Stegostoma tigrinum: one gene and its partner. The protein of the gene in region 2 purifies or fractionates together with the protein of the main gene of each other region. This does not show direct contact. Links are inferred from orthologs where the notes say so. Each region holds a gene or a part of one and is shown on either strand. Other genes may lie near its edges. The genes, in order: malt1 and card11.

The links.
Region 1: the proteins of card11 (region 2) and malt1 purify together in Homo sapiens (affinity purification with western blotting; 6 studies listed by BioGRID and IntAct, with this or other methods). This does not show direct contact. The link is inferred for Stegostoma tigrinum from reciprocal best matches to the Homo sapiens genes CARD11 and MALT1.

Annotation. Positions count from the first base shown.
Region 1 is NC_081354.1:151,652,433-151,669,048, forward strand, and holds the start of malt1 (mucosa-associated lymphoid tissue lymphoma translocation protein 1), read right to left. Parts: upstream 7,897-16,616; 5' UTR 7,469-7,896; coding exon 7,317-7,468; intron 1-7,316. UniProt on the Homo sapiens protein: Protease that enhances BCL10-induced activation: acts via formation of CBM complexes that channel adaptive and innate immune signaling downstream of CARD domain-containing proteins (CARD9, CARD11 and CARD14) to activate NF-kappa-B and MAP kinase p38 pathways which stimulate expression of genes encoding pro-inflammatory cytokines and chemokines.
Region 2 is NC_081376.1:13,750,301-13,767,398, reverse strand, and holds the start of card11 (caspase recruitment domain-containing protein 11), read right to left. Parts: upstream 8,550-17,098; coding exon 8,419-8,549; intron 1-8,418. Other genes in the region: sdk1a (protein sidekick-1), read left to right, coding at 9,814-10,417. UniProt on the Homo sapiens protein: Adapter protein that plays a key role in adaptive immune response by transducing the activation of NF-kappa-B downstream of T-cell receptor (TCR) and B-cell receptor (BCR) engagement.

The DNA of each region.
Region 1 (16,616 bases), on a different chromosome or scaffold from region 2:
ACCTATTTGATTCACTAAATTTCCCTTTAGGAAAGAAAACGTGCTACCTTCACCTCGTCTGGTCTACAATGTCATTCCAGATCCATTGCAATGTAGTTGACTCTCAAAAATGGAGGCAATTATGGGTGGGCAGTAAATGCTGGCCTGGCCAGTGAAACCCATATTCACATGAACTAAAAAGAAAAGCATATTCTGTAAAGGAATAATGTTTTTAAAAAGTAAAATACCCCTATTGGAGGCAAGACACACACAAAAGTCTGCCTCTCTGCTGCAACAAAAACAAAGTGCTGGAAAAGCTCAGCAGGTCTGGTAGCATCTGTGAAGGAAAAAAAACAGAGTTAACGTTTCGGGTCCGGTTCTGAAGAAGGGTCACTGGACCCAAATCATTGACTCTGTTCTTTCCTTCACAGATGCTGCCAGGCCTGTTGAACTTCTCCAGCAATTTTGTTTTTGTTCCTGATTTACAGCATCTGCAGATCTTTCGATTTTTACCCCTCTGCTGCATTCAGTTCTTCACTGTTGCTAACTTTTCTTTCTAAATGAAGATTTTCATTCAGGTGCAATGGATTCCCGGTTTAGTTGCACAAATTTAAAATCCACAGGCTTCCTGAGAACATTACAGTTAACACAAAGGCAGATGTGAAATTTCAGACATCACTTTCTCGTATTTAATCCTTTAATCTTTTAAGTCAGTCTAATTGTACCCCCCACTATCTCTGTACCCAAAGGTAGTTACCCCAATATAAATTCAGTGTTCATGGCATTAATTAAGTGAGTGTGGATTAGAGAATTAGAACTATGATGCCACAGCGTTTTGTCAAGTGAAGTTTCAGATTGCAGGAATTTACACTTGAAATTAAAATCAAAATTCTCAACTCTCATTGCTTCATAGTCATGCTTTAGTAGGAGCTTTGCTCCAAGTGAGTAGAGAAAGAGAGAACTACAGCAAGTTCTATTTTGTAATTCTTTCACAAGATTTGGGCAGGGTCAGCATTCATTGCCAGTCCATAACTGACCTTGAGAATGTGATTCTGAGCCACCTCCTGAACCACTACAGTCCTTCTGCTGCTTTTAGGAAGGGAAGTTTTTGACCGAGTGACAGTGAAGAAATGGCAATATAGTTCTACAACAGGATGCTACGAAACTTTGAGGGGGATTTGCAGGTGGTTGTACTACCCAGTACCTGCTGCCCACATTCTTCCAAATGGTACACTTACAGATGATGCATACTACTGCATGCCAGTAGTGGAGGGAGTGAATGTTTATGATGATGAATGGGATGCCAATTAACTTGCTGTTTTGATATTAGTGAGCTTCTTGAGTGTTGTTGCGTTAAAGGTGAAACTAATGTGTATGTCACAGCAAATATATTGTATGCATTTCCCCTCAAATAACCTACAAAAAACTCCCATTACACCTTAATATGCATAACAAGTCATAACAACGTGGTTTGCAATAAAACATGACAATACAAAGATATTCAACGGATAGGGGAGCTTTTCCCAAATTAGTCTCAGAAAAAATATTCTTCATTTCCGCTTGGACAACCACCTTTATATCTAATGCTCTGGTGTTGAACATGATATTTCAGCGCTGGAGTCTCAGCTCAGACATCATTCCTGCCACTCAACTTCAATCAGTGGAAAGGGGCACTGAGACAACAGACAAGGCACAGCACTGAATTCATGACTGCCTTCATCATAATGCTCAGCACCTTGTTGTGGAGATTTAAATAAAACTTTAAGGTAGGCTACAAACCAGATCTGATGAAAAGGTTTTCTTTGAACTTAAAGGTATTCACAGTGCTTTGTTGAGGCATGTTCCTTTGAACAGTGTGAACCTATTGCCTTGCTTGCATTTTATCAGCCTCCCACTGACATACTTTCAATTGTTTTCATATTTTCAGTTTGGAGAACAGCATGAAATAATTGAAGGCTTCACTGGCTACTGAACAGGCTGAGAATCCACTACGAACATGACGGTGGTCATTCTTGCCCAGCTGTTATCGAGTCAATAAGGATTTCTGCAATGATACATTATGGATTAACCAGTCTGAGATGCCACTGTGTTTCTGGTGGGACTTCCCCATATTTGGTCACACGTACAGATATTCTATTAAGGACTTTCCAGTGGGGACTTTCCAGCATTTCACCTCATTTAATTACAGCATCAAAAAAAATTATATCCAGGTCCCTTTAATTACCTGAAATGTCTTTCTGTAACTATAGGGAATAAATCCAAACAGCTTTATAAAATTAGCTAAACAATGAATACATTTTCAGCCATTAAGATGTTAACTGATCATAAATATTTGGCTTGCTCATTTGTAGTTTTTGTATAGGTTGTACATAATGAGTGGGACATACAAGTAATTCCAGCTCCCAAAAGAAATCTGTGATCATACACCTCAGTTTTGGCCTTGGCTTGACATACAGCCTACACTGCTTTGCTTTCAATTTCTGTTGACATTTTTTTGTTAAAATTATCACACTACTGTAGAAGTGGTAGATGAACCTCAAAATATTATAGCAATTAATCTTCATTTACCGAAATTAACCACAAATGAAAAGCAAAATTAGTCACACTACTTATAATAGCAATTTATTACTGTTTTGTTGGCAGACATACCAGCCAACTTGCACGGAATAACACTGCATTAACAGAAAGTGAGACAAGTGGCCACTTAATGGGTTTTTGATCGGTTTGGCCAAGGTAGCTAAGATTTGGGTTTAAAGGATCTCTGAAAGACAGAACCTGAAATAATGCAAAATCAAGGTCAAGTGAATTAGTCAGAACGACATAGGTCAATTAATAAAAGGGAATCAGAGAGATAACCAATGTAAAACATATCTCACTAAAACAAATTCAAGGTGACGCTAATGACACCAGGGCAATAGCTGAGCAGAGTGGCACAAAGAGTCTAATTGAAACCCAACTCACTGGCAGTCAGGAGAAATCTATTCACATGGCTGGAGATAACCAGCTTCCTTCGTGCTGAGTGTGAGGTTGCTGAATGTCAATTATCTCAATCCCAAACCACCACGTAGGAGTTTCACATGGTGGTGTCTCAGACCTAACCATCTTCAGATACTTCAACAACAACCTTCCTTCCATCGCATGACCAAAAGTGGCAATGTTTGCTGATTATTGTGCAATGTTCACTAGTATTTGTGACTTCAGATGCTGAGCAGCTTATACCCAAATGCAACAAGTGCCATGCAAAGGCTAGGGCTGATGACTGCCAAATGATAGTCATCCTACAAAAGTGCCAGACAATGACCATATCAAAAAAGCAAGAATCTAACCATTGTCCTTTGACATTCTATGTCATTATCATCACCGAATTCTCTACTACCGGCATCCAAGGAGTTACCATAGACTAGAAACTGAACTAGAACAGTTCCAGAAATACTGTGGCTAGAACAGCAGGTCAGAGGCGAGCTGCTCTGTGGATCTAACAGCATCAACGAGACACAAGCCCAGATTGTAATGGAATATTTCCAGGCAAGATGGCAGCAGAGTAGAGCTCCTCAACGAAGTTTGTCCACTCTGACTGTTTCTTTCTCTTTTTCTTTTTTTCTCACTTTTTTTTCCATTTCTTTTAGTTCTTTGGTCATTAGAGTTTGATCATCAAGGCAGTGGCAGTGACGGTAGTGGCTGGGAGTGGTTGACGGCAGCGCATCATTGATGTCTAGAGCAGTCCCAGAACAGGATTCTGCAGCAATATGGCTAATGCAGCAAGGGAGCGCAGCAGTGACTGAGGCCCAGCACAAGCTGGATCATGGCAGTGGCAGTCACTGATAAGGCAGCAGTGGCAGAAGATGGCAGTGGCAGTGGTCATTCATGAAGGGTGGCAGCAGAGGCGGTCAAGGCCAAAGCCTTGTGAATGACGGCGAAGCCTGGCATGCTTGATGGAGGTCAACAGTGGTGGTTAGCAGTGTAGGCAGCTGGTGAGCATAGGCAGGTCATAGACCAGTGCAAGAGGGAGCGAACCCTCTGGAGAATGCCCAGCTTGGAGCGTGTGCAGGCCTATGGCTTAAAAAAAGGACTGTAATGTTTGACTTTTTAAAACTTTATTTCTTTATTTTTCTAATTCTGTAACTAAGATTTTGTACCCAGTACTTTGTGCCTAAGATGGCATCATGTGAGGCAACGTACACTTTTCATACCACACATCTGAGTATACATGACAATAAAACCTAAATATAAATTTATATCTAAATGTTCTTGCCTGTTGTCTGGATGATTGTAAGTTCAACAACATTCAAGAAATTTGACATGATTCAGGACAAAACAGTGTTGCCTGACAACATCCCATTCGCATTCAGCATTCACTCCCCACACCATTGATGCACATTGGCAGTGTACTTCATCTACAAAATGCAGCAAGTGCAGTAACTCACCAAGGCTCCTTTGAGAACACCTTACAAAGTTGCAATCTCTAACAGCCAGAAGGAGAAGATAGCAGACACATGGGAACATCACCACATGCAAAGGTTCCCCTCCAAGTCACACACCATCTGACTTTGAGCTGTATTGTTTTGCCTTTATTGTCTCAAATTTAAAATTCGAGAATTCCCTCCCTGACAACACTGAGGGTGCCTCTTCCTTAAAGACCACAGTGGTTTAAGAATGCAACTTACCACCTTCTCCAGGGCAATTAAGGAATAAATTCTGGCATGCCAGCAGCACCCACATCAAAGAAATGTAGTCAAAAAACTAACTTGTGAAAATGTACATTGATACGAATAGAAATTCTCCACATTTATAATTCCAGATTTATTTTCCAACATAAAGGGAAACATTAAAGGGATGCTATTTGTGCAACAAATTTTTTCCAAAGCTTCCCCTTTGATTTTCTAGATAAATCTAGCCTCATTGTTATTGAATCATTGTGTAGAAGTAGTATTACATACATACATACTGTATGCTGTGATCTTACATGTTAGTTTTCTCAAGAGATACTACCATACCTTTCACTGCATTGAATTATATTTAATTGTCTGCCAATTCCAGTAAACTGTTTACTTTCTTTGTAAACATTGTTATTCTTCCTCACAGTTAGTCAACTTTTAACCAATTTGCTGAAATGAATCTTCAATATTTGCCCGCTTCAGACTAATTAAGTGTAAAGCAAAAGAGGTTCCAGCACAAATTCTTGGCATATATACCTACCCCAATCGAAAAGCATTTGATCACTTCTGCTCTTTGCATTCTGCTCCAGAGCAATATTTCTGATTAGAACCCTAATAAAATCATGCACCTTAATTTTTATCATGTTTATTCTGAGTCATTTTATGAAACACTCATTGAAAGCTCATACAGACAGCAACTATGACATCCATTTTATGATTTATTATTGCCTTACAGCAATCAGTTAACTTAAACAAGCACAGCTGGTCCTCATGGAATGATACAGCAGAGAATAAGCCCTTCAGTCCATCGTACCTGTACTGGTTCTTTGAAAGAGTAATTCAATTGGTCCATATCCCCCTATCCTTTCCCCAGAGCTGTTAATTTGTTTTTCCTTCTTAAAATAATTATCCAATTCCTTTTTGAAAGTTATTCGTGTTCAGTTTACTCCAAACACCATTGCAGTCAATGACTTCAAGATCACAAAACCTTGATGCAAAACCCAGACCAAATGGCCCTCATTGTACCAATTATCTAAATCTCTTTGGAAAACCATCCTGTCTCTTATTGATTTGTCATTTTTTTTAATTATTCACAAATTTTACCTGATATTATTAGTTCTCTGGGCATTAGAACTTAACCCACAATAAGAGGCAAGATACTCAAGTGCTTCTATATCCAGATTCCAACGATTTACAGCTCATGTCTACATTACCATGTCATAAAGATCTGAAAAGTCAAAATCTAAATTTTTACAAAGAAATAAAAGCAGAAATTCCAAGAGAAACTCAGCAGATCTGGCACTATCTGTGGAGAGAACAGAAAGCTAATGTTTTGAGTCCAGTGACCCTTCTTCAGAACAGTATTGAAACATTAAATCTGCTTTCTCCCCACAGATGCTGCAAGACAATGCTGTATTTCTCCAGAAATTTCAGTTTTTGTTTGTTTCAGATCTCCAGGACTCATAGTTCTTTCCTTTTTTTAAACATTAATTTTGATACAAGTTGTTTCTATGGGATTGGAAAATGTCAAACAATCTGAAAATCACATCAACTGCTACGTGAACAGCAAGCTCCCACAAACAGCATGCTGATAAAGATTTGGTAATCAATTTTTGTTACATTTAGGGATAAATATTGGCCAGGATACCAGAGGTGACTCATCTATTCTTCAAGATAGTGACACAGGATACTTTACATCCTCCAAGGGAGCAGAAGGATTTCACTTTCACATCTCATCCAATGGCGACATCTCATAGTGCATTATTTCCCCATGAGGATCCCAGTTTACAAACCTAGTATCTGCTGGGCTCTTCCTGCCCCCAATTAATCATCTGATGGGCAAACAAACATCATCACCTTGAAAACTCTGAAACAAGGTGAGAAAGTTATTCCTGAATAGTTTCTCTTTTCCCAATAAAGAGGGTACATTTTGTCTCTTTTAGGGTGAATGCTACTTTATCGAATCTGAAAGTTTAAAAACTCAGTTTCAGGCTTTGAGAATCTTCAAGAATGGTCACAGATACAGCTTAAGACCCAAAAGTAGGCAGTTTACCAAAATAAAGCAGTGGTAAATGCCTCCCGTGACATAGTTGTTTTGTCCCTACCTCTGATGTAGGAGGCCTGGGTTCAAGTTTTGCCTGCTCCAGAGGTATCCATAGAATTCTTACAGAGTGGAAACAGGCCATTCGGCCCAACAAGTCCACACCGACCCTAGGAAGAGCATCCCACGCCGACCCGAATCCCTAACCTATCCCTGTAACGCCGCATTTCCCATGGCTAACGCATCTCATCTGCACATCCCTGGACATTATGGACAATTTAGCATGGCCAAACTGCACGTCTTTGGACTGTATAAATAACATCTCTAATATTTTGAAAATCTACAAGTAGCTTCCAGACTATGGAGAAAGGTGAAAACAATCAGGCTTCTGGCTCCTGTAAAACATTGACAGGAAACTGCACTCGACAAGTCAGTGTATGATTTGGTTGTGATGCACACCACAGTTGATTATCCTGTAAGACTGAATAACGGATTCGACCAACTTCAGAATGATAAAGAAAATGTGACAATGAGAACTCAATTTAACGCCGCCAAAAGTGAACGATTTACTTATGTTTGGGGCGGGACGTTGGTCTGGAGAACGGGGAGCGATACACACGTACTCTTGTACATATACTTACGTGAGTCTGAAACGCTTGTCAGCTCCCACAATCTCCGCCAGTTTCCTCCATCCCCGGTTGTTGGTCTTGTCCAGCAGATCGCTTATTTTCTTCAGCGTGTGTTCCTTCAGGCTGTTGATGTTTATCGGCGTGACCTGCGTGGACTCTGCCATTGCAGCGAGTCCTGTTTCCCAGTGGTGCTACTGCTGTCATTGAACAATACCAGAGCCTGGGTGACAGCCGTCTGCTCCTCTCTCCGTTCACCCACTCCCCGGGCAGAATCCAGCCAACAAAAACACGACCCCGCTCAACCGTCTAAAGATGACCTCAATCCAACGCCTTTCTAAACAGACATTTTTTTTTCCTTTAAAAGTGAAACGTTGAGATTTCAAACTTCTGGTTTCAAAAGAAATTTGAAGGGATTGTGGTCACACTGTTGCACGTCAAAAGTCAGACTCTCCGTTATAAAGCAGGAGTGCCCCCATCTCTAAAAATTGTCCCCGTTCTGTCTGGGATAACGTGGCGGTACACACAGAAAGAAACACAGTGAAACCCTCCAGTGAATGCACTTTATTCCAATCGTCTACAACACTTCCTGCTACTTTGGCGATAAACTACTGAAGCAGGAAGTAAAGGCACCTACACCCAAAAATGTGCAAAGGCCTCTGGGAAGTGTGGTTCATCGTGCGAAACTGACTCGGAAAAAGAAACGGTCTTCCAACAGAACTTACATTGATTCGGCTCCTTCAGTCACCCAGGCAGTTCCATTGTAACCAAGGTTGCTTGAGAAGGCGACGGGCAGTCACGGAAATAAAACCTTATAGTCCATGGGGTGTATAAGTAACACCTAGACTACGGTTAGGGAATGAGTTCCAATGCTTTGACCCAGCGAGAATGGTGGCACCGCAATATATGTATTCCTCAATCTGGATGGTGTGTGATAACAGCCTCTCGAGTCACGGACGTAAAGTTATAGAGTTGTACAGCATAGAAGCAGACCTTTCGGTCTAACGCGTCCATGCTAACCAGATATGGTAAATTAATCGAGTCCCATTTGCCAGCATTTGGCCCATATCCCTTTTAACCTTTCCTATTTATATACCCATCCATATGCCTTTTAAATGTTGTATTTGTACTAGCCTCCACCACTTCCTCTGTCAGCTCATTCCATATACTGACCACCGTCTGCTGAAAAGGTTGTCCCTTAGGCGCTTTTTAAATCTTTCCCCTCTCACCTTAAACCTATGCCCTCTAGTTCTGGACTCCCCTATCCTGGGGAAATGGCCTTGACTATTCATTCTATCCTCTTGATTTGATAAACCTCTATAAGGTCACCCCTCAGCCTCCAATGGTCCAGGGTCAAAAGCCCCAGCCTATTTAGCTTTGGCCTAAAGCTCAAACCTGCCATCCTGACAACATCCCTGTAAACCACATCAGTGCAGAATTGAAAAGGAACAGCCCGTGATGAGAGTGAGAATGATTAAGTTGTGACAAAGGCACCAGGCAAAGCAAAATGACAACACAACAAATATAGAAACAGAAATTAGGTCCAAGGAGATGGAGAGGATTGCGTTGCTTTTTAGAGGAGCCGGGAAGTCCTTATATATAAAAGGACTTGTCTTAGCCAACAGATCTTAGATCAAAGCTAATGTCACCTCCAAGGAATCACATTGATGTTTAAATAGTCTTCCTGCAAAGGAGGAAAAACAAACAAATGAAATTTTCCTCTTCAATACCAAACACGTAAGCATTTCAGTGTCTAGTGCACTTCCAGCTCAAAAGAGAAACTTCTTGGAAAGTTACTCAAGAAACAAAAACGGATGTTCAGATTCTTGAAGAAACAGAGATCAACACGAGGACACATGAAAACAAAATTCCTCAAAGGTGGAATCACAGGTAGACTGGGTGGTGAAAAAGGCATTTGATGTGCTTGCCTTTTTGGTCAGTGTATTGAGTATAGGAGTCATAATACAGCTGCACAGGACATTAGTTAGGCCACTTTTGGAATACTGTGTGCAATTCTGGTCTTCCTGCTGTAGGAAAGATGTTGTTAAACACAAAAGGATGCAGAAAAGATTTACAAGGATGTTGCTTGGATTGGAGTGTTTGAGCCATAGAGAGAAGCTAAGTAGCCTGGGGCTATTTTCCCTGGAGCGTCGGAGGCAGAGGGAGGAACGTCATCAAAGTTTATTAAATCACAAGGGACTTGAAAAAGGTGAATATGCTTTTTCTCAACATTGAGGACTCCAAAACTAGAGGGCGTATGTTTAAGATGACAAAGTGTGAAGCTGGATGAACACAGCAGGCCAAGCAGCATCTCTGGAGCACAAAAGCTGACGTTTCAGGCCTAGACCCTTCATCAGAGACGGGGATGGGGAGAGGGTTCTGGAATAAACAGGGAGACAGGGGGAGGCGGACCGAAGATGGAGAGAAAAGAAGATAGGTGGAGAGGAGAGTATAGGTGGGGAGGTAGGGAGGGATAGGTCAGTCCAGGGAAGACCAGTCAAGGAGGCGGGATGAGGTTAGTAGGTAGGAAATGGAGGTGTGGCTTGAGGTGGGAGGAAGGGATGGGTGAGAGGAAGAACAGGTTAGGGAGGCGGAGACAGGCTGGGCTGGTTTTGTGATGCAGTGGGGGGAGGGGACAAACTGGGCTGGTTTTGGGATGCAGTGAGGGAAGGGGAGATTTTGAAGCTTGAGAAGTCCACATTGATACCATTGGGCTGCAGAGTTCCCAAGCAGAATATGAGTTGCTGTTCCTTCAACCTTCGGATGGCATCATTGTGGCACTGCAGGAGGCCCATGATGGACATGTCGTCTGAGGAATGGGAGGGGTAGTTAAAATGGTTCGCGACTGGGAGGTGCTGTTGTTTATTGCAAACTGAGTGGAGGTGTTCTGTAAAGCGGTCCCCAAGCCTCCGCTTGGTTTCCCCAATGTAGAGGTAGCCACACCGGGTACAATGGATACAGTATGCCACATTGGCAGATGTGTAGGTGAACATCTGCTTAATATTGGAAAGTAATCTTGGGGCCTGGGATAGGGGTGAGGGAGGAGGTGTGGGGGCAAGTGTAGCATTTCCTGCGGTTGCAGGGGATGGTGCCGGGTGTGGTGGGGTTGGAGGGGAGTGTGGAGCGGATAAGGGAGTCACAGAGAGAGTGGTCTCTCCGGAAGGCAGACAAGGGTGGGGATTGAAAAATGTCTTGGGTGGTGGGGTCGGATTGTAGATGGCGGTAGTGTCGGAGGATGATGTGTTGTATCCGGAGGTTGGTGGGGTGGTATGTGAGAATGAGGGGGATCCTCTGGGGGCGGTTGTGGTGGGGGCAGAGTGTGAGGGATGTGTTGCGGGAAATGCAGGCGACGCGATCAAGGGCATTCTCGACCTCTGTGGGGGGAAAGTTGCGGTCCTTGAAGAACGTGAACATCTGGGATGTGCAGGAGTGGAATGCCTCATCCTGGGAGTAGATGTGGTGGAGGCGGAAGAATTGGGAATAGGGGATAGAACTTTTGCAGGAGGGTGGGTGGGAGGAGGTGTATTCTAGGCAGCTGTGGGAGTCAGTGGGCTTGAAATGGACATCAGTTTCTAGCTGGTTACCTGAGGTGGAGACTGAGAGGTCCAGGAAGGTGAGGGATGTGTTGGAGATGAACTTGAGGTTGGGGTGGAAGGTGTTGGTGAAGTGGATGAACTGTTCGAGCTCCTCTGGGGAGCAAGAGGCGGCGCCAATACAGTCATCAATATAACGGAGGAAGAGGTGGGGTTTGGGGCCTGTGTAGGTGCGGCAGAGGGACTGTTCCACGTAACCTACAAAGAGGCAGGCATAGCTGGGGCCCATGCAGGTACCCATGGCCACCCCCTTTGTCTGTAGGAAGTGGGAGGAATCAAATGAGAAGTTGTTGAGGGTGAGGACGAGTTCGGCTCAGCGGATGAGGGTGTCGGTGGAGGGGGACTTGTTGGGCCTGCGGGACAGGAAGAAGTGGAGGGCCTTGAGGCCATCTGCATGAGGAATACAGGTGTATAGGGACTGGACGTCCATGATGAAAATGAGGTGTTGGGGACCAGGGAATTGGAAGTTCTGGAGGAGGTGGAGGGCGTGGGTGGTGTCCCGGACGTAGGTAGGGAGTTCCTGGACCAAAGGGGAGAAAATGGAGTCCAGATATGTGGAGATGAGTTCGGTGGGGCAGGAACAGGCTGAGACAAAGGGTCGACCAGGGCAGGCAGGTTTGTGGATTTTGGGAAGGAGATAGAAACGGGCCGTGCGGGGTTGGGGAAAATTAAGGTTGGAGGCTGTGGGTGGGAGGTCCCCTGAGGTGATGAGCTCATGGATGGTGTTGGAGATGATGGTTTGGTGTTTGGGGGGGTGGGGTCATGATCAAGGGGCCAGTAGGAGGAGGTGTCAGAGAGTTGGTGTTTGGCCTCGGCGATGTAGAGGTCTGTGCACCATACTACCACTGCGCCTCCCTTGTCTGCGGGCTTGATGGTGAGGTTGGGTTGTGGACTTCACAAGCTTCAAAATCTCCGCATCCCCCACTGCATCCCAAAACCAGCCCAGTTTGTCCCCTCTCCCCGCTGCATCCCAAAACCAACCCAGCCTGTCTCCGCCTCCCTAACCTGTTTTTCCCCTCACCCATCCCTTCCTCCCACCTCAAGCCGCACCTCCATTTCCTACCTATTAACCTCATCCCGCCTCCTTGACCTGTCCGTCTTCCCTGGACTGACCTATCCCCTCCCTACCTCCTCACCTATACTCTCCTCTCCACCTATCTTCTTTTCTCTCCATCTTCAGTCCGCCTCCCCCTCCCTCCCTACTTATTCCAGAACCCTCTCCCCGTCCCCCTCTCTGATGAAGGGTCTAGGCCCGAAACATCAGCTTTTGTGCTCCTGAGATGCTGCTTGGCCTGTTGTGTTCATCCAGCTTCTCACTTTGTTATCTTGGATTCTCCAGCATCTGCAGTTCCCATTATCACTCATAGCTGGAGAAACTGACAGGTCTGTGGAGACAAAGCCGAGTCTAAGTTTCGGCTCCAGCGAGCCTTCTTCAGATTTCCAGCATCACAGTTCTTTTGTTTTATTTTAGAAGGAATAGTAATAATCATCAACTGTTGCTCGATCTAAATTATGAAGGCATCTTCGGTTCTGACCCTGGATTCTGGTGGCCGCGGGAGGGGGGTGGTGGGGGGAGGTGGTGGAATCTGAAACTTGATCCTTTTCCCATCAGCTTGACTTTGCCCAACTTTCCAGTGTTACTGCAGCTGTATATGATAACTCCCAGAGCGTGTGTACACAGTCTCTATTACAAGTTCGTGAGTATAAGATGCAAAAATAGATCAAATGGGCTTCAGTATATCAGTGTGGATCAAACACGGCTGCTAATCTTCCTGTTCACCGTGCTGAATGTTAAATAACATATAAATAAGGTATGTTCAGAGTTTCTGGTCACTTTGTTTATGGGCAGGGAGGTTCTTTGTTCGCCAGCAACTGGGCTTTTCAATATCTTTATAGTTGCACATCTAGCCCAATGTCTGTTTAAACCAATGGTAGAATTGCTTTCATTGTATAATCTACAATTGGCGCTGTGTTTTTTTGTCGATTTTCCGGTTGTTTTTGAGTTGGCATATGTTATTATGTGTAAAATATTGGATTCCTGTCAGCCTGGTTTTATTTGTAATCTGAGAGGTGGAGAGAGAAAATTTCTCTGCAGAGCTTAGAAGTGGCTTGTGATTGCAAAGCTTTAAATGTATTGAAGAAATAGAAGGGCGACGAAAATTTGCTTTCAGATCCTTTTATGCTTTGAAAAATTTAAATAAACTCTATCAACATGGCTTTAGTTATTGGAGTCATGGAGGTCTGGGCCCATGGAATCTGCAGTTCTCAAAAATAAACATTTAACTATTTGAATCCCAATTTCCAGCACTTGGCTCATAATTTTGTATGCTTTGGCATCACATCATAGAAACAGAGGAACTCGGAGCTGGAGGAGGCCATTGGACTCCTTCAGCCTCCGCACGCTCAGCTAGTTGTCATATAGAGCTGCAGTAACACTGGAAAGTTGGGCAAAGTCAAGCTGATGGGAAAAGGATCAAGTTTCAGATTCCACCACCTCCCCCCATCACCCCCTCCCGCGGCCACCAAAATCCAGGTTCAGAACCGAAGATGCCTTCATAATTTAGATCATGGCTGATCATTGAGTTCAATAGCGTAATCCTACCCTCCCCCATATCCCTTGGTCCATTTTGGCAAGAGAGTTTTATTTCCTCCTTCTTGTAAACAAATAATGCTTTGGCTTCAAGCATTTTCTGAGGCAGCAAATTCCACCGTCTGGGTAATAAAAAATCTTCTCATCTCAGCCCTAAAAAGTTTGCCCCTTATCCTGAAACTATGACCACTAATTCTGGGCTTCCCCACATTGGGAATTTACTCAACTTGTGAGATTACGCTGTAACTTCTTTGAATCCACCTCACAGTTCACAGTTCCACCCTTGTGTCATACAGAAATTTTGAGATATTACGTTCAGTTCCCTTATCTAAAGCATTAACCTATGTTGTGAATAGCTGTGGTCCTAGTACCATTCCCTGTGGTACACTGCTAACCATTGCCTGCCATTCTGAAAAAGACCCATTTGTTCCTACTCGGTTTCCCATTTCCTAACCAATTTTTTTATCCATATCAATACGCTACCCAATCCCATGCAATTTAATTTAACACACCAATTTTTTATGTGGCACTTTTGTTGAATGCCTTCTGAAAGTCCAAATAAACAACATCTACTGGCTCCCTCAATCAACTCTACTACTTATATCCTCGAAGGATTCCAGTAGATTTATCAAGCATGATTTCCCTTTTTAAAAATCAACGTTGACTGTTGCTGATCCCACCACTGTTTTCTACGTTTTGTGCTATAAAATGATGAGTAATGGACTCAAGCATCTTCTCCACCACCAATATCAGAATCATTGGTCTATAATTCTCTTTTCTCTCCACCTCCCTTCTTAAAATAGTGGGGTTACATTAGTTACTCTGCAATCTTTAGGAACTGTACCAGAGTTTAATGAATCTTGGAAGATGACTGCTGATGCATGCACTATTTCTGGAGCCACTTCCTTAAGAGCCCTGGGATGTAGAACTGCACATTTAAATACTTCATCAATGTTATGAGGGCTTCTGCCTCTACCAGCCCTGCAACCAGTGAGTTCCAGATTCCCATCACCTTCTGGGTTAATAATAAAATTACTCAAATATCAATCTACATGTGTTTCTGGCGCTCACCTTAAATGTCCTTTAGGTTCACAAGATGTGGGTGTCACTGCCTAGGCAACATTTATTGCCCAACCCCAATTGCCCAGAGAGCAGTTAAGAGTCAACCACATTGCTGTGTGTCTGGAGTCACATGTAGGTCAGACCAGGTAAGGATGGCAGTCTCCTTCCCTAAAGGACCTTAATGAACCAGATGGGATTTTTTCCCAGTAACTGGCAATGGATTCGTGGTCATTAGACTCTTAATTCCAGATTTCTTTTTTTGAATTCAAATTCATCCATCTGCCATGGTAGGATTTGAACCCAGGTCCTCAGCACATTACATGGGTCTCTGGGTTAACAATACTGCAATAAAACCACTAGGCCATTGCCTCCACTTTAGAAGAAGCTGACCAGTACTTGTGTAATTCTATCCACTGGCCAAGGTCAAATTTACTACATATTGATAAGCATAAAGAAGCTCATTAGGAACTACACACTTAGGAACTAGCTGAAGTAGCACATCTTACTGATTTGCATGCATATTTTGCACCATTACATTACCTAAACCATTCAAGATGCAACTTGTCTGGATTAGGTAGAAAGACCAATGTTATTCTGCTGTCTGAAATCCTTTCAGTTAAATTTGACCTTGGCCAGTGGATAGAATTACACAAGTACAGATCTTCATTCACTAAAATCAAATGCTGGTCAGACATTCAATCATTTACAATGAGCTAAAACTGATCTGTCTGATAAAAACATAACAGTTGAACAAACAAGATTGCTCAGGGACCTTTTAAAAGTCACAATGCGGTTTTACCAGTTGAAACAAAACTGATATAAATCAGTCTTAACCAAAAAGGTGAAGTGCATCAGTCATGTCAAATTCATATCCAACTTGCATCACAGATTTCATGCAGATACGAAACCAAAGGAAAACAGAGATTTCTGAAGAAGGGTCCAAACCCAAAATGTCAGCTTTCCCACTCCCCTGATGCTGCCTGGCCTGATGTGTTCCTCCAGCTCCACAATGTGATACCCAAAGTCTCACAATTTGTTCATCTTCTGATAGACTGATTGGCATCTATCCCCCAGTCTCTCTCTCTCTTAAGAAAAAACCTGGACAAAACACACCTCTTAAAATCACTATCCTCACAATAGGATCTGTCAATATTTGCCATTTCACTGATAAAGAAACAACCTTCATTAGTTGTAGGGCTTGACCAATCACTCCTCTCACTCTGAGGCTGTGTAATCAGTGTGCACGTGCGCCAGAGTTAAAGGTGTGACTAAGATATAACAATCGAAAAAGATTATAGTAGGGTGGAATGATGTCATAGGATTTGAAATTATTGGCAAAAATTTCTGAGGAATGGGGACTTGGGTGATATCCCTGAGGTCAGAGTGTTCAGTGTATACACTGAATAAGGATAGGATGGATTTTTATTGATCAAGTCACAGGAGAACTGTTTTCATTATGACAAACACATGTAGATTGTGATTAAAAAACATCACAAAGAAATTAACTGTAACACAGGTCTTTCCAAGAGGTTAACAGAGCAGGGAAATTATTTCTTTCAGATGATGGATTTTATGAATATTTTACTTACAAATTTTAGTGTTTCCCATTGAAAAGATTGAATGAAATGGCTGATTGGTGTCAAGGAATCTCAGAATTAATTTTTGCTTGTCATGATACGGTCATGCAACTACATCTGCCACATGAGCGGGTCCACTCTGTTACCACCACATCTTTGAGTTTAATTGTCAAAAGGCAGAGGAGTTGAAGGCAGTATTTACCACACTGCACAGAGACAGCAGCTTCATACATGATCTCTGCAGACATGTGCTTGCTCCTCAGCTTTACTTTGGCATTTCTAACAATTTGAATGGAAGCAGAAATAGGTAGCAAATGATTCCAAATGATTCTCTTGCAGACATTTTAGCCTGTTATATAATAGAGTTCAAGGTGTTGACAATATGAGCATTCTGAAAAGATAATCTAGTTCTGGATGTGAGTTTGCTTGCTGAGCTGGAAGGTTAGTTTTCAGATGTTTCGTCACTTTTTTTTATTTGAAAAAATATACTTTA
Region 2 (17,098 bases):
GTTTTCAAATGTTAATGGTTATACTTGCTTTATTTGAAACACATGTTTATGGTGTCTACCTACTGCAACAGGAAAAAATTGGAACAATGCCAGGTTCAAAAGTATCAAATTTCCTATTTATCTTGCTTCTGTACTCCAGCAATTTTCTCATTTTTTGGGTGCTCGCTGTCCAACTAATATTGTCAGAAAGGGTTTTGAGGTTTAATGCTGATGAGATGCCTTCCACCATTGACATAACTGCAGCCTCATTGGCCAAGCTGATGGGCATTGGTTCATCGTGAACAAAGAGATGATGACTCAAAATGGGAGTGCTCTCTGAAGAAGAGTCAGTTTTTTAAAAAGAAAATTAACATGGCCACAGCCTCCTGGTTGTGGTTTTAGAGAGTCATTGGACATGTTGTGGGACAATCAGTGGCTGCAACAGTTAGTCAGCAACCAGCACTGGTATGAATGGGGTGTATCCTTCACTGAATGAAGAGTAGCCCTTTTCTTTCCCAAAAGGAACCTCTAGTGATTGTTTGGCTGTGGTTTCGATGAACATTTCTTGCCAGCATTACAGTTAAGAAATCCCTATTGGCATGGAAATGCCTAACTGCCCTCAAATTGACTATCTGATGTTTGCCTCCTGTCTCCAAACATGACTTGCTTCTAAACTACAATCCAATGTTGTGATGGCTAAATTAACATGCATCTTCTCCTTTCTAGAACAAGTAAGTTTTAACAAATACCTTCTCGAGAAGCCTGTACAATACAAATTTGTTAAAGAAATCACATTGCAATGAAAGGAAGTCTTTACGACATTCAAAACAGAAGCAGTCATGATTTTTCACGTAGATTTCATGTTGTGTAACCTCATTTCATTCTAATCATGAGTAAAATATTATATTGAGAGAAGTCTGACACATCAGTAAGCTTTTCTCAGGTTTCTGTGCTTCTTCTGCTAAAGTTAAATTGGGAAAATAGAAGTATGCCTGTGGAAATTCATGCTAGCATTGATTAAATTAACTTTATAATATGTTAAAAGTGGAATGTACCTTTTTTACTGGAGAAATAAATTATTTGTACCACTGTTTTTACAGCGAACAGCTTTTAGTAGCCATGGAAACTCAATTCATTTGGGGTCATGGTTTAAGAAGAACGCAAATGTTATTGAATGTCAGTGTATTGGATTCTGCCGAACACATTCATGAAGTCTTTTGTAAGGTCACATTACCAAGAGGTTGATTACTACCCTATGACCTGTGACTAAATATCCAAGAAATCTTTTGAAACCTAATTTCATTGTCAAGCAGGCTGTCCATTGGAACTTCATAATATGCTCAGAAGAAACGACAATGGATTTTTGCTGAAAGACAAAGAGGTTTCCTGCTGTATAAAACAAAAAAGGAAGAAATGAAAGGCTCTTGTCAAAAAAGCTTGGAAAGGGGTCAGTTCACAACAGATCTTCTATCTCACACTAAATTTTCAACAAATGTTAGTTCGCTGATACAGTTTGCAAATAGAATATATGTTGAGCCTGCAAACCTTTCTGGGCGCTGACTTCAGCCATCAAACTGCCAATCAAAAATGATACACTGCTTCACTTGAGCACAACTTCATCTTCAAAAACTTCACTTGCTGAACTACATGGTCAGAGATGAAGATAAAACCATTTCAGTGTCAAATTATTTTCCAGCTGACTCAGTAATTTTGAAGTAAATGCTACCACACCTGCACGATAAAATAATGTTCCTCTCTAATTTCTTGTCTTTTAAAAATAACTTGCCACATAATCATAAGATAATAAAATGTGAGGCTGGATGAACACAGCAGGCCAAGCAGCATCTCAGGAGCACAAAAGCTGACGTTTCGGGCCTAGACCCTTCATCAGATGAAGGGTCTAGGCCCGAAACATCAGCTTTTGTGCTCCTGAGATGCTGCTTGGCCTGCTGTGTTCATCCAGCCTCACATTTTATTATCTTGGAATCTCCAGCATCTGCAGTTCCCATTATCTCTGCCACATAATCATGATTTGATTCCAATAAATATGTTTATATTTTAAATTGCTTTTAAAATACATTTAGATTAGTACATGAATAAGAAATATTTAAAGGAATATGGGACAGGTGCAGGCAGATGGGATTAGTTAAATTTGGGATTACGGTCAGTATGGACTGGTTTGACTGATGGGTCTGTTTCTGTGCTGCGTGACCCTTTGACTCTATGTGTAAATAAAATGGCAGTCAGGAGGTTCTCTTTAGCTTTTCACACGCTAAATTTTAAGATTTCTGTTAACTGAATGAGGCTGCCCAAATTTATTTCTTTGCGGGATTTTCAAAGCTCAACGGAGTATTCCAAAATTATTACTTTATAAATGACAAGAAATGCTTAACATCATTTCAGTCCAAATTACCTCACGCATTCTGTTTGGTTCCTTCAGAAACCATGTGCAATGTACTTCTTCAATAACAGAACGAAGTATTAGAATAAGGATTCGGTTTATTGTCACGTACTGAAGTACAGGGATATATGCATACAGTGAAAAGTGCACGAAATTGCCATTTCTGGCGCCACCTTTGGTACCAAGATAGCTCAGTGCAAAATCTAATGTACAAATTAGAAAAATGAAAAAAAAAAGTTAAAAGATCAGCATTACAGTCGTTATAAAGTTAGGTACAGACAAACCCAGATACGAAATCTTAGGTATAGATAAAAAAAATAAAGAAATATAAATAAAAGTTCAGCATTAACAAGCTCCATTCTGAATATGTATTTCTCTGAGATCAGCTGGGATAATTCCATGAGAAAACAGAGGGTGGGTTCTGAGCAAAGATATCAGTCGCAGTTCAACGACCGGATGAAGAGTTAGAAAATGTATCTTGTATGAAATACTGCGAAATGTTGGAATGTGGGGGCGGGAACATTTCAGTACACAACATTTGGATGGGTTGGGTTTGCATCAAACGTTGGTAAGTTAAACATGAACGCCGACTCTCAAACCACTTCCCTTGGACTTTATTCAGGGAGGGGAAGGAACTTCGAAATGTAAATATTTTACTGATGATGGTTGCAGCTGATTCAGTTTTTCGGGTTTAACGGTGGGCAGGTTTTTCTAAGCTTTGGGAAATCTAGCAGCTAAACTGAGGCGAGGGCATTGTCAGCGAGAAAGTAAGTGCACTGCTGTGGCCACAAGCAGCAGGAATGTTTCCCCACAGCTCTCAAGCTGCACCCTCCTCTACAAAACCCAATTGATCTTACAGGTACAAAGTTCTCCCTGCCTGGCTGGAAACCAAGCCCGTCAATCAGGCTGACTTCTAGGCGCTGAAAACATTCAGGGTCGAAGGGTGCACATTTATACAGAATTCCGACAGTGTGGAAACAGGTGACTTGGCCCAGCTAATCCACACCGAACCTCCCGCCCCCCAAAAGCATCCCACCCAGACTTGTCCCCCTACCCTATCCCTGTAACCCTGCATTTCCTCGTCGCAAACGCATCTAACTTGTCTATCCATGCACCCTGCAGGCAATTTAACATAGCCAATCCACCTAACTTGCCCACAGTGGTCGAGAACGCCCTTGACTGCGTCTCCCGCAACACATCCCTCACACCCCACCCCGCCACAAACGCCCAAAGAGGATCCCCCTTGTTCTCACACACCACCCCACCAACCTCCAGATACAATGCATCATTCTCCGACACTTCTGCCATCTACAGTCCGACCCCACCACCCAAGACATTTTTCCATCCCCACCCTTGTCTGCCCTCCGAAAAGACCACTCTCTCCGTGACTCCCTTGTTCGCTCCACACTGCCCTCCAACCCCACCACACCTGGCACTTTCCCCTGCAACCGCAGGAAGTGCTACACTTGCCCCCACACCTCCTCCCTCACCCCCATCCAAAGCCCCAAGATGACTTTCCATATTAAGCAGAGGTTCACCAGCACATCTGCCAATGTGGTATACTATATCCATTGTACCCGGTGTGGCTTCCTCTACATTGGGGAAACCAAGCGGAGGCTTGGGGACTGCTTTGCAGAACACCTCCGCTTGGTTCGCAATAAACAACTGCACCTCCCAGTCGCGAACCATTTCAAATCCCTCTCCCATTCTTCAGATGACATGTCCATCATGGGCCTCCTGCAGTGCCACAATGATGCCAACCAAAGGTTGCAGGAACAGCAACTCATATTCCGCTTGGGAACCCTGCAGCCCAATGGTATCAATGTGGACTTCACCAGCTTCAAAATCTCCCCTTCCCCCACCGCATCCCAAAACCAGCCCAGTTCGTCCCCTCCCCCCACTGCATCCCAAAACCAGCCCAGCCTGTCTCTGCCTTCCTAACCTGTTCTTCCTCTCACCCATCCCTTCCTCCCACCCCAAGCCTCACCTCCATCTCCTACCTACTAACCTCATCCCACCTCCTTGAACTGTCCGTCTTCCCTGGACTGACCTATCCCCTCCCTACTTCCTCAACTATACTCTCCTCTCCACCTATCTTCTTTTCTCTCCATCTTCGGTCCGCCTCCCCCGCTCTCCCTATTTATTCCAGAACCCTCTCCCCACCCCCCTTCCTGATGAAGGGTCTAGGCCCGAAACGTCAGCTTTTGTGCTCCTCACATGCTGCTTGGCCTGCTGTGCTCATCCAGCTTCACACTTTATTATCTTGCATATCTTTGGACTGTGGAAGGAAACCGCAGCACCCGGCGGAAACCGACGCAGACATGGGAGAACGTGGAAACTGCGCACAGTTCCCGAGCAATTAAAAAAAAAGTTCGTTACATTATTTTGTTTTTAGAAATTATTACCAGTTGAGTTAAAGCATGAATGCCATGTTGCCAATGAATGATTCTTCGACTAATTGCTTTAAAACAACGAAGGTATGAACCGATTTGAGAACACGGACCATGTATTAGATTATAACTCAAGCAAAACTCATTCACTGACAGAGCTAAAATCTGACCCTACAATTAAAAATTACATAACTGAGCTCCGCATTTTTTTCGTTCCTATACCTCAGAGAAAGCAAGTTACTGCAACAAAGTGAAAATTATGATTCTAGTTGCTGGTCAATTCTACCTTTAGTTTTTTTGGCAAAAATGTAAATTTTAATTAAAAAAACTTATTTGAAGAAAGCTTGTCTGTGTGTACCCAACTCTAAATCCATCTAGGGCAAATTATTTAATCCGGTTTTAGTTAATTTGCAATTTATATTTCTTAGGTTTATTACGTTTCAAGGACTAAGACAATGCCATCTAGTGTCTGTTTATGGAGGAAAGCTTGAATTAAACATTGAATTTTCAGTGACAAATTTTTAGGTTTAAGATATATGGGAAGAGACAAAAATGATTTTTGGACCACAATAAACACGTAAACATCTGTAAAGAAGTACTTGCAGAGAATAATGGCAGACTTTGAAAAGATAATGTTACCTAAGGGTGACAATGTAAACCAAAACCATCTGGTAGCTCTTCAAACCTGGTAAAGACACAAAATCGGGGCAGTGGCACAGCGACAGAATGCAGCAAAATGCTGTCAGAAAGATGTCGGTTGACTATGCAGACATATCACTGGTGAAATTCAGGTTGCTAAATGTGCATCAAAATAATCTCAGACACATATACAGTGAATGGAACTGAATTAGAAGAAGGATGGACTAGGAGGGAGCTTGGGAATAATAGTAAAAATATCATTTTCAACATTTAGGTAATGCAATGAAGTAATTTAAAGGTGAGAGAATTACATTTCCAGAACTATGCTGAGATTTTACAATACATTCTTTAGACTTAGAATACTGTATTCGATGCTGCAACAATGATAGTGTGACAAATGCACAAAAAACTTGGTAGATTTACAATTTTTGAAGCCCAGGTTCAGGTGAATCTTTTCAATAATTCAAAACAAAAGTGGAAAGAAATTATTTAGACTTTGCAAAACAGGAACATCTTTCAATTAAGACTCACACTAGCTATTGATGGCAATTTGGAAAAATTGCATTTTAACCCTTGATATTTTAGGCACCTGTGAAGTGAACATTGTTGTTCAGATAAGTTAACTGTCCAAAAAGTAAACTTGACTTTCTGAGTTGGAAGCATTTGCTGCCGAGGAGCACCGTAGAGCCTCTGGAAGATTGTAAGAATTTCTCTTTACAGTATTCCGGGCAGCATTTGCTTTTTTAGAACAAAAATCCTTAATGAAATAATCACCACCTAAACAGCCACTTGGGCTAGAAAGTTAACCTTATTGTGAAGATTGTAATTTTGGACACAAGTGAAATTGGAAAGCTGACTGTCCTTGTTGCTGCACATTCTAGATGTTTGTGTATTTTTAATTGCTGCCTTTTCATTTTAGTATCAACTATTGAGGTTTCACTTTTAAATTTAAAAATAAACATTCGTTTTGAAGAAAATGAAGTCCAGTGTGTAATATGTGCAAGTTTGAGTCAATGAGATACTGTTGGAATGCTACAAATCCCGCTTGTAATTATTGCTGCAAAAACATGATAATCTTTTATTCTTAGCCACTTAACTTACGGTGCACATGAGAAAAATCAGGAAATCCACTGCTTTTTTATAAGCAGCCAGAAGAACATAAAAAATAGAATGTGTCAGCCATCTTGCCTTCCAGGTCTGCTTCATCTTTCAACATGATCAAAGCTGATTATCTACCTGAAGTTCAGTAACTGCTAAAAGGGAAAAGGGCTGCCCCTAAAGATTGCATTAGGCTGTGTATGGAGAACAGTCATATTTCAATTCGAGTGCAAAGAGAATGAGCTTTGAAGAAAGATTAGGGAAGTTTAGCTTTACAGTTTGAAAAGAAAATCTCTCTGTCTGGGGAACACAATGAAGATATTAAATATGGTATCAAAAATGTAAAATTCTAATTAAGCCATGTAAACCCAAAGTAAGTTAGTAGTTATTTTAAGAGCTAGTAAAAAAAAAATCTTTCAAAAAATATATATAACAAGGTGTAGAGCTGGATGAACACAGAAGGCGAAGCAGCATCAGAGGTGCAGGAAAGCTGACCTTTAGGGTCTAGGCCTGAAACGTTAGCTTTCCTGCTCCTCTGATGCTGCTTCCCCTGCTGTGTTCATCTAGCTCTACACCTTGTTGTATCAGATTCTCCGGCATCAGCAGTTCCTACTGTCTCCATTCAAAAAATATTGATGTCCAGAAGAATTTATCAAAGGTGTTAATTTGGGCAACAATATTAGAGATATTTAGTTGTCTAATTAATTGTCTTGATGGGCGAATCATTACACCTGAGCGTTGAATTCTAATTGTTTTAGCTGACTTTTCTGCTTAGTCTGTGATGGTTTTTCTGTTGGTAAATTACGTTGTAAGCAATCATAGTGCTGTAGTGCATTGAGGGTTCCCATCATGGTTTTCAGGGAATTGATTGGCAGTAAAACTGAAGAACATCTGTGCACGATTAACCTAGTGCTTTGGGTAAATGGTTCACCCGAAAAGGAAACGGTCATGGCCTGGAAAGGGAATGAACTGGGTGTTGGGGTTTTGTGGTATTGTCTATAAGAAAGATCTCATTGATTTCTCTTGGAGATAGTGATGAACTTACATTTTGAGGACAGGGCAGGGCAAGCATGAAGAATCTGTTGGAAGATGGGATGCACTGTGGTCTAACAATGACCAGCAGTTTTCCCTTTGTTGCTACAAAATGGATTAATTGAAAATAGCAGATCGGAGCAGGAGTTTGCTATTTGGTCCTTTCAGTCTGCCCAGTTTTCAGTATAATCATGGCTGATTATCCAAGTCAGTACCCTGTTCTTAATTCATCTTGCTTTCTCTCTTTCCCTTCAATTTTTTAAAGTTCTAATTAACTAAGTAACTTATTTGTGAAAACATTCAATGCTTTGGGCTCTACTGCTTTCTGTGGCAGAGAATTCCACATGGTCATCACTATCTGGACGAAGAAACATCTCCTGATCTGAGTCATAAATTGGAAGATTCTGAAGAAGGTTCACTGGACCTGAAACGGTAACTCTGTCTTTTTCCTTCACTGATGCTGCCAGATCTGCTGAACCTCTCCAGCAATTTTGTTCTTTCGGTTTTTACTCAGTTCTAAATTGCCTATTTTGTATCCTTAAGATTGTGACTGCTGGTTCTGGACTCCCCAGTCACTTCTTGTGTCGGTACACATAGCAAAACGCCAAGGAAGCACAAATGATAGAGAAGTGACATCGACGCAGGGTGGATGGTAAGGTAGGTCTGAATCGTCGAAAATAGGTTGGCTCTGCTAAGAACAATTTCATTCAAACAAAACACGGCATAGTGATGGATTAACGAGAAATCCCGCTCTCGAAAACGACTGAAGGTACTCTGATAAAGTCACCTGTAGTGGAAACGTTAAGTCCGCTTTCTCCACGCAGATGCTGCCAGACCTGCTAAGATTCGCCAGTAAATTCTACAATTTTTTCAGATTACCTGCATTTGCAGTTCTTTGTTTTATTTAAGGATTCAATGAAGAACTTGACCATTAAAGACAAGAAGCTGTGCAAACCCAATTTTCTGTCTTGGAAATTTCTTCTTTGGAACCAATCAATAGCCCCTCTCATTTCGTCCTCCTATTGGTTGGTCAGGGCTCCAGTGAAGAGACCAGTGACCGGAGACAGATGGTCGCCTGTTTCATTACCAATGGAAAGCCAGCACCTATCAACGAATTGATCAATCACAGCAGCGATCGCATTCCATCCAATCGGAACTGAGAACCCTGTCCAGATATCAGCGAATCAGCGAGCGGTGGTGCAGAATTCGGCCAATCAGCCGGAAGAGATTTTCTCCTGGTGGAATGTTGACGAATCAGATCGCAGGTTGTGGTTGCTGGCGTTGACCAATCAGAGGCGCGCTCGAGCTTCAGCTCGAGCCGAAAGAGTGCGGTCCGTCGACAGGAAAAGGCGGCGGGGAAGAAGGAAATCGCAAACTGCCGTTACAAGGTAGTTCAAAGCAAGAGGGAAATCTGTTGGAAAGTCATCGGACGAGGGGCGTTCACCTCAGAATTTAATTTCAGGTCTCTTGCAGGGTTCAAAGTTGTTGAAGATTATGTTTTTTTTTATAAAACATATTAGGCGTACTAATGTAACTCTAAATCAGTGTGTGTGTGTGTGTGTGTGTGGCGAACGCCCCTGGTCTCGCGCCGCTGTCAGATATAAGTTCAAACTTTGCCAAGCGCAGTTCATCCAATTGGAGAATGCATGTAATTTGTTCAAGTAAAGTTTGAAAGCTGTTTCAGTTATGAGTTGAAACTTTCACAGACTCATCATTTTCAGGTTTGGGAATTTTATCCCGTCTCCACTTAGGTGATAAAACCAAACAACCATTCAAGTGATAATCATTTGCTCTTTTTAAAAAAAGCGTTGGAGTTAATTATCAACCAGGTATTGCAGGCGGCTGGCTGGAAGTTGAGATCATTGCTGTTTGGTGCCTCCTCGGTGTACATTGGAAAGTAACAGACGAAATTAAAAAATAAGGAAAACGAGGATTGGGAAGAAAACGCTTCCCTTTATTTACACCTCTGCTTTCTCATCCCAGGGGTGAAGGCAGCTTGTCGGAACGGAGTGACGCTGTTCCCGCTGAGGAAATCCGGGCTTTGGGAAGAGGGACCGATCCAAACCCTCTACAAGGAAAGCGGCGATCATTAGCAGGCTGCGAAAGATTGAACCAAACCCGATCTCCTCTCTAGGGCAACCAGCCAAAATAACACAATTTAACCAGCGGCTTGGAGGAGACCTTCATTCAGTCTAATATATTTCATTGAAAATATACCAAAGCGTATCGATTGTTAGGGAGCGACCTGATTGCACTAATCGAGGCGATCAACAGATGATGGGAGACGCGAGTTTTGGGCTGGTCGATGCTCAGGTCATCGCTGTGTTACTCATTGATGTTGATGCGTATCCAGAGGTGATCTGTACTCGAGGGGCTAGCAGCAAGGGCCCGCAAACGTTGATCAGTAATTCTAGCAGCAGGAAAAGACCGCACTCTGGGGCTACTAGCCATGAACTAATTGTAAACCCAGCGACATCTGTAATCAATCATCCGAAAGATCGATGCCAAAGGAAAGCCTTGCAGGGACCGATCGGGAGCCTTTACCCAAGCGGACTCACTAAGCAGAGATCGATCCAGCGTTCGAATGCCCACCATAATCAGTTGATCGAAATTGCCAAAGAAATCGGGAATACGGACTACTCAATCAATAACCAAAGGGCGATGAAGCAACGGCCTTGTTTGAAAGGTGTTTTCGATAACCAGATTGAAAACCGAAGTGATGAAATTAATGTATTGATTAGGGGACCGAAATCGGGAGTATTCCGAAGAACAGCTGGATTTGTTAGTGCGAGAGGAAACTTTAATTTGTTTGGATGTTTTGGGCGAATGTGGATGTTAGCTCTCTTTTATATCCACGTGCTACAGACCCTGGCTCAAGGTAAGATTAAGTTCTACATTACAGGAGTCGAAACACCTTCAAAGTGGGAACAAATTATGTTTTTGCTTATGCAAATCTTCCAAGTGATGTGAAGGAGAGATTAAAGTCCAACATTTGTGTTGTGCTTTAAGTGCGGACACAAACGCTACCATATTTTTCAACTGTCGTATGGTTTCTTTGCAACATGCTTGTTAATCAAATGGTATTTTGCAAGCTGTACGGTACGCAAAGGGTTACATTTGAATATTGTCTGCTATCAGCTCTCATAGCTTTACTTTCCAAGCTGACTTTGTAGTATTAAGGAACAATTATCCGATGGTGAGTCAATTAATGAGACAGCGTGCGTTTTGCTTTTTATTTTTTTTGCCGTGGGAACAAACCAAAGAGTTGCACTTCTATTGGGCAGTGTAAATAAGCACTTGTGCCAGTTTCATTTTCCATCACAGAATTGCAACGCGAAGTAGAAGCCTAATGTACGTACTACTTTCTCAACCCGAGGTAATCCCTTACTCTCTTTTTTAAAAAAAAACACGAAACCACTGCGGATGCTGTAAATCAGGAACAAAAACAAAGTTGCTGGTAAAGTTCAGCAGGTCTGGCAGCATCTGTGAAGGAAAAAAAATCAGTTAAGGTTTCGGGTCCGTTGACCTTTTCTCGGACCCCTGAAGCTTTCTGGCGACTTTGTTTTTGCTCTCGCTTTCCATATTGCATTATGGATTATTTGTTAATTGAAACAAGCTTACTTTATTCAGCATATAAGCAAACTCTGATTTAGCTAACAGACAAGATAATGCAAACAACACTTTCTGTACCATTGTCCGTGCGTTCGAGTAAGTATTTGAAACGCGATTGTTTTACCCAATGAATGAACTGATATTTGCTCTCTTTATGGTGGGATGCCGAAGTTCTTTGCTTGAGCGATGCGCCGTCATACATCATAAACAGTGCCGCGTTTGTTCTGGTGCCAGCGATCTCAATTGGATTAGTATCCCAATGTAAAAACTTGTATTCATTCCAAATAAAGGGCTTTTATGTTGCACTCCTGTCCCTATGTTTAAACTTTTTAAAAACTGACTTCTATTAAGATTGAATTAGCTGTCTTAATCTAATTTCGTTTGAGTAGCATCAATATCTGTTGTTTCATACACCTATTTTATAATTGATTTTTGTTTTGAAATTTATTCTCCACATTTCCCTTGCAGAATAGTTTAAAGTAGTGAAAGGATTCATAAACTGAGTAGCATCTGACTCATGACATTATGGTTTCCTTCACAGCAGTAACCGTTTTTTCCAATGTGTATCAGCTGATAAGTGGTTAGTCCTATGGGACAAAACGGTTTTATAAGCTGCCGTAGACTGCACAGAGGCAGGATACCCACACCTGCCAGACATGAAGATCCCACTGGATGTCATTGTGGAGTTGTGAGTTGGAGCTTCAATGTCCCACTTGCTGGGATTATATCTCTGTGCTGAAACACTGTGTACTTTATAATTCTAAATTGGGAATGGCATCATTAAGCTGAAGGCTCAAACCATTTGTCCTGTTGCTATTAAAGGAAAATTGATTATGGGAAAAAATATAAGTTTTTCAGTTGTACTTCATTCAAAGTACAGTGTAGTTGGAACTTCAGGTTGTATTTTGTGGTAATTATTTTTTGATTGTAAATCCCCAGTGGGAATGAGATTAGTCACGTGCCATCTTGGATTTTAAACAAAAAGATGTTCTTTAGTAATCTGAACACTTTTGTTACCTTATGTCAAGAATGAGAGGATATTACAGCAAATGTTTAGCTGTTAAGCCCATCAAGTCAATGCCATTTTTTTACCAACCTCTTTCTTCAGCGATTTGTGTGCACTTTTGGAATACTTCCCATTGTCAGTCTACTATTTGACATTAACAGAGATCAATTACAAAATCATAAGTCTGTTAGTCTTTTTACGTGGAAATTAGAGCACTAAAATAATTATAGGGACAGATGTAGTTGGGAAGTATGAATTTGTAAAAGGTAGTTTTCTGTCAAATGTATATGAATATTGAAGTGTGCACGTTTTTAAGAATATAAACATAAAAGTTAAGAACAGTAATAGATCAGTCAATGCATTGACCCTGCTCGACCATTCAATATGATGGTGGTTGATCTGGATGTGATCTCAATTCCACACTCCCAAATACCCTGGATAACTTTTGACTCCCTTGTTTGCAACAATTTAGTTACCTCTGTCTCCCACTGCCATCTCCGGGAAAGTGTGTTCCGATGAATTATGACTCTCTGAAAGAAAATTCTCCTCGTCTGTCTTAAACAGAGTACCCCTTTTATTTTGGAACTCCTGACTCTGAGTTCTACTCTGTCCCACAAGAGTAAACAACTTAATTCATCCTTTTGAAGTCCTTTCAGAACCTTTTTTTTTCTTGTGATCATGTCTCATTCTTCTGAACTACAATGGAAACAGGCTAGCCTGTCCAACCTTTTCTCATAACATAACCATCCTCCATCCCCAATCCTGAATATCGGTTGCTTGAACCTTGTCCAAACTGCCAATACATTTATAACCTTCGTTAAATGAGGAAACCAAAATGTACACCCATCTCCGGGTATGTGCCTACCAGCACCCTGTACAGCTGCAGCAGAGCAAACTTTATTTTATATTTCCCTTCTAGTAATGCCAACTATCCATTTTCCCTCTTAATCACTTGCTGTACCTGCATGCTGATGTCTTGTATTTCAGCATCATAACACCCAGATCCCTCTGTATCTCAGATGTCTGCAGTTTCTGTTTGTATTGAAGTAACATTATTTTTCTATTCATCATGCCAAAATAGGGAAGTTGACAGTTTTCTACATTATACTTCATATGTTAACTTTTTTTTTGCTCACTAAGTGAATCTATTTGTATCCCATTCCAGTTGCCTATGTACTTGCCACTAATTCTTTTCTGATCTATGTTTGTTAAATTTGCTGATGAATTGTACATTCAGTTCCTTCATTCAGGACATCAATATCAATTGTGTATTATTGAGACCCCAGCACTAACTTTTATATCCTGCCCAGTCTATTGACTTGCCATTCATCTTGGTAGAATTATGTGCTTCTTCTTTGGATTAATCCAATCTTTAACATATTTGATTGGAACAGGTGTGTCCTTTCTTTTGAGCCATTGTTTGTCACCGGAATGTACTTTTTCTAAGTATTTTGAAATACTACTTTAAATACGGGCTATTGCATCATCGCATAAGTCTAAGTGAACAGGAATTTTTTTTGTGGCCATAATTGTCATCCTCCAAGCTTATAATGTTCTTTTTTCCCCTTTTATGCATTCATGGGATGTTGGTGTCGCTGCCTAGGCAGCGTTTATTGCCCATCCCGAATTGCCCAGAGGGCAGCTCGGAGTCATCCACATTGCTGTGGGTCTGGAGTCACGTGTGAGGATGGCAGTTTCCTTCCCTAAAAGACATTAGTGAACCAGATGGGCTTTTCCTGACAATCAACTCAGTCATCATTAGATTCTTAACTCCAGATATTTATTGAATTCAGATTCCACCGTCTGCTGTGGCAGGATTCAAACCAGGTCTCCAGAATGCTCTTTGATCTCTGGATTAACAGTCCAGCAATTAATACCGCTAGGCCATCACCTCCCCATGATACTTTCTTGGGTTTGCACTCGTTTCCCTTAAACTGAAAATGATACTGAGTCATAGTAAAGTTAGTTACCTTGGGATGTCTTTAATATGAAGTCCTAAATAAGCCTATTTATTGTACATTGCCTTATCTTGTCGCGTTTGCACACTACTTGGTTCAGAACTTGGTGCCATGAGAAGCTCTCCTGAATATAATCCCATAAACTCATCACTCAGACTCTGCCAATCCAATTTATATATTGATTAACATCACCCATGACTCTTGGCATATCTTTCCCACTGGCCCCCCTTTTTTCTATCCTGTCTGACAATGTGGTTTTTATTACAAGGTAATATGCCATTGCTGAAAGTGACTTCTTTCCCCAGCCAGTTTTTCCTAAACTGATTTGACATCTTCATCTCCACAACTAAGATATGATTTTTTTTATTGTACTAATGCTGTTCTTAATTAACAAAGCTACTCTTCCACTCTTCTCCAGCTTTATTTTTGTTAGTGTTATATATTCAAGTCATCTTTTTTTTGCAGTCTGTCTCTGTAATGGCAGCCACATCACATCTACATTTGAATAAGGCTGTACAATTTACTTTTGAGGTTTTACTTTGGGTGGATAACAGGATAGGTAATGGTTGTTGTCTCATTCGATTTCAAAAGAGAAAAAAGAAACAAACTTGAATTTATAGGTGTTTGTGATTTGGCTATTGCAAAATAATCTTGGTGTTTTCAAGCAGAAGCAAAATACTGTGGATGTTAGAAATCTGAAATAGAAGCGAAGTGCTGAAGAAACTCGGGTGTAGCAACAGCTGTAAATAGAGGAACTGAGTTAATATTTTCAAGTCCAATATGACTGTTTGGAACTAAAGAGCATTGCATTTGTACACCTGTTCAGTTCTAAAGGAGAATTACGTTTTCATTTTTGTAATATAGGCAGATCAGTTGCCAAACTTGAGCACTTGTTTTGTGTTGATCAAAGAATAAATGTTGGCTTGGATGCCATGAGAGTTTCTCTGCATTTAAAGGCACCGTGGGACCTCTCCTGACCTGAACAAACGAATGGGACTTCATTTTGATATTTCATCTGAAAACATAACATTTTGACCTATCATACTGAATTGTTAATCCAGATTATGTGCAGAAGTTCTGCAGTGGGCCTTGAACTTAAATCTTTTGGCCCATGAATAAGTGCTAACTGAACTAATCTGGCATTTGATCCCATTTCTGCAGAAGGGTCCTGACCTGAAACGTCAACTTTCTGGTTCCTCTGCTGCGTGGCCTGCTGTGTTCTGTTGTCTTTGACTCTGTGGAAACAGGGCTGTTCACAAGCTGTTGGTCTAAAGCACAAGTGGTGAAGTAGATGATGGGATTGATGTGATAAATAACAAAAGGTGTTCTAAAATAATGCAATATCAGGTGACTTGAGCAATAACTGGTCATCGGAGGAAGGCCATAAAATTTCATATTCACTTGGTTGTTCAGAAGTTTTGTAAATGACTTTGGAGTATTATAATTATAATGAAAATGCATTAGTTTTAAATATTTGCTGTGTTAGGTCAACGGGCAGAGTGAGAGCAGACGGAATTCCATGTTCAAAAGTATAGATTCTTCGGATTGGAAAGTTGAATGGAATACTAATTTATATATTAAATGGCACCATGCTTGAAAGGACTAATGTGATAATGGATTTGAGGAGTTTAGTGGTGAGTCTTTTAAAGTTGTTAGTTCACCATATAAAGATCACAATGAAAATACAGAGATAGTAGGAACTGCAGATGTTGGAGAATCTGAGATAACAAGTTGTAGAGCTGGATGATCACAACAGACCAAGCAGCAGTATTGGAGCAGGAAGGCTGATGTTTTGAGCCTAGACCCTCCTTCTGAAATGGGGGAGGGGAAGGAGGTTCCAAAAAAGATATTTGGCGGGGGTGGGGGGGGGTGGTGGATAGAAGATAGGGAGTGGAGAGGAGACAGACCGGTCAAAGAGGCACGGATGGAGCCAGGGAGGAGATAGGTCAGGTCAGTCCAGGCAGGATGAACAGGTCAAGGGGGTGGGATGAGACAAGTACGTAGGAGATGGGGGTGGAGCTTGAGAGGAGGGGGAATAGGTGGAACGACAAGTTAGGGACAGGCTGGGGCTGGTTTTGGGATGCAGTAGGGGAGGGGAGATTTTGAGCCTTGTGAAGTCCACATTAATACCATTGGGCTGAGGGTTCTTAAGTGGAATATGAGTTGCTGTTCCTGTACCCTTCGGGTAACATCGTTGTGGCACTGCAGGAGGCCCAGCATGGACCTGTCGTCTGTGGAATAGGAGGGGGAGTTGAAATGGTTTGCGACTAGGAGGTGCAGTTGTTTGTTGCGAGCCGAGTGTAAGTGTTCTGCAAAGCAGTCCCCAGTCTCTGCTTGCTTTCCCTGATGTAGAGGAGGCCACAACAGGAACAGTGATGCAGTATACCACATTAGCAGACGCGCAGGTGAACATCTGCTTGATGTGGAAAGTCTTCTTGGGCGTGGGATGGGGGTGAAGGTGGATGTGTAGAGGCAGGTGTAGCACTTCCTGCGGTTGCAGGGAGAAGTGTGGTGGGGCTGGAGGGGAGTGTAGAACGGACAAGGAAGTCATGGATAGACTGGTCCTTCCAGAAAGCAGATAAGGGTGCAGAGGGAAACCTGTCTTTGGTGGGTTCAGATTGCAGATGGTGGCAGTGTCGGAGGATGATGCGTTGGATCTGGTGGTTGCTGGGGTAGTACGTGAGGACAAGGGGGGTTCTGTTTTGGTTCGTTTTGTCATTGCGGGGAGTGGATGTGAGGAATGAGTTGCAAGAAATGTGGGAGACACAGTCGAGGGCGTTCTCGACTACGGAGGGGGTAGGGATGTTGCGGTCCTAGAAGACCGAGGACATCTGAGATGTACGAGTGTTGAATGTCTCATCCTGGGAGCAGATGCGGCCGAGGTAAAGGAACAGGGAATGGGGTTGGCATTTTTGCAGGAAGGTGGGTAGGAGGAGGTACATTCTGGGTGGCTGTGGGAGTCGGTGGGCTTGAAACGGATATT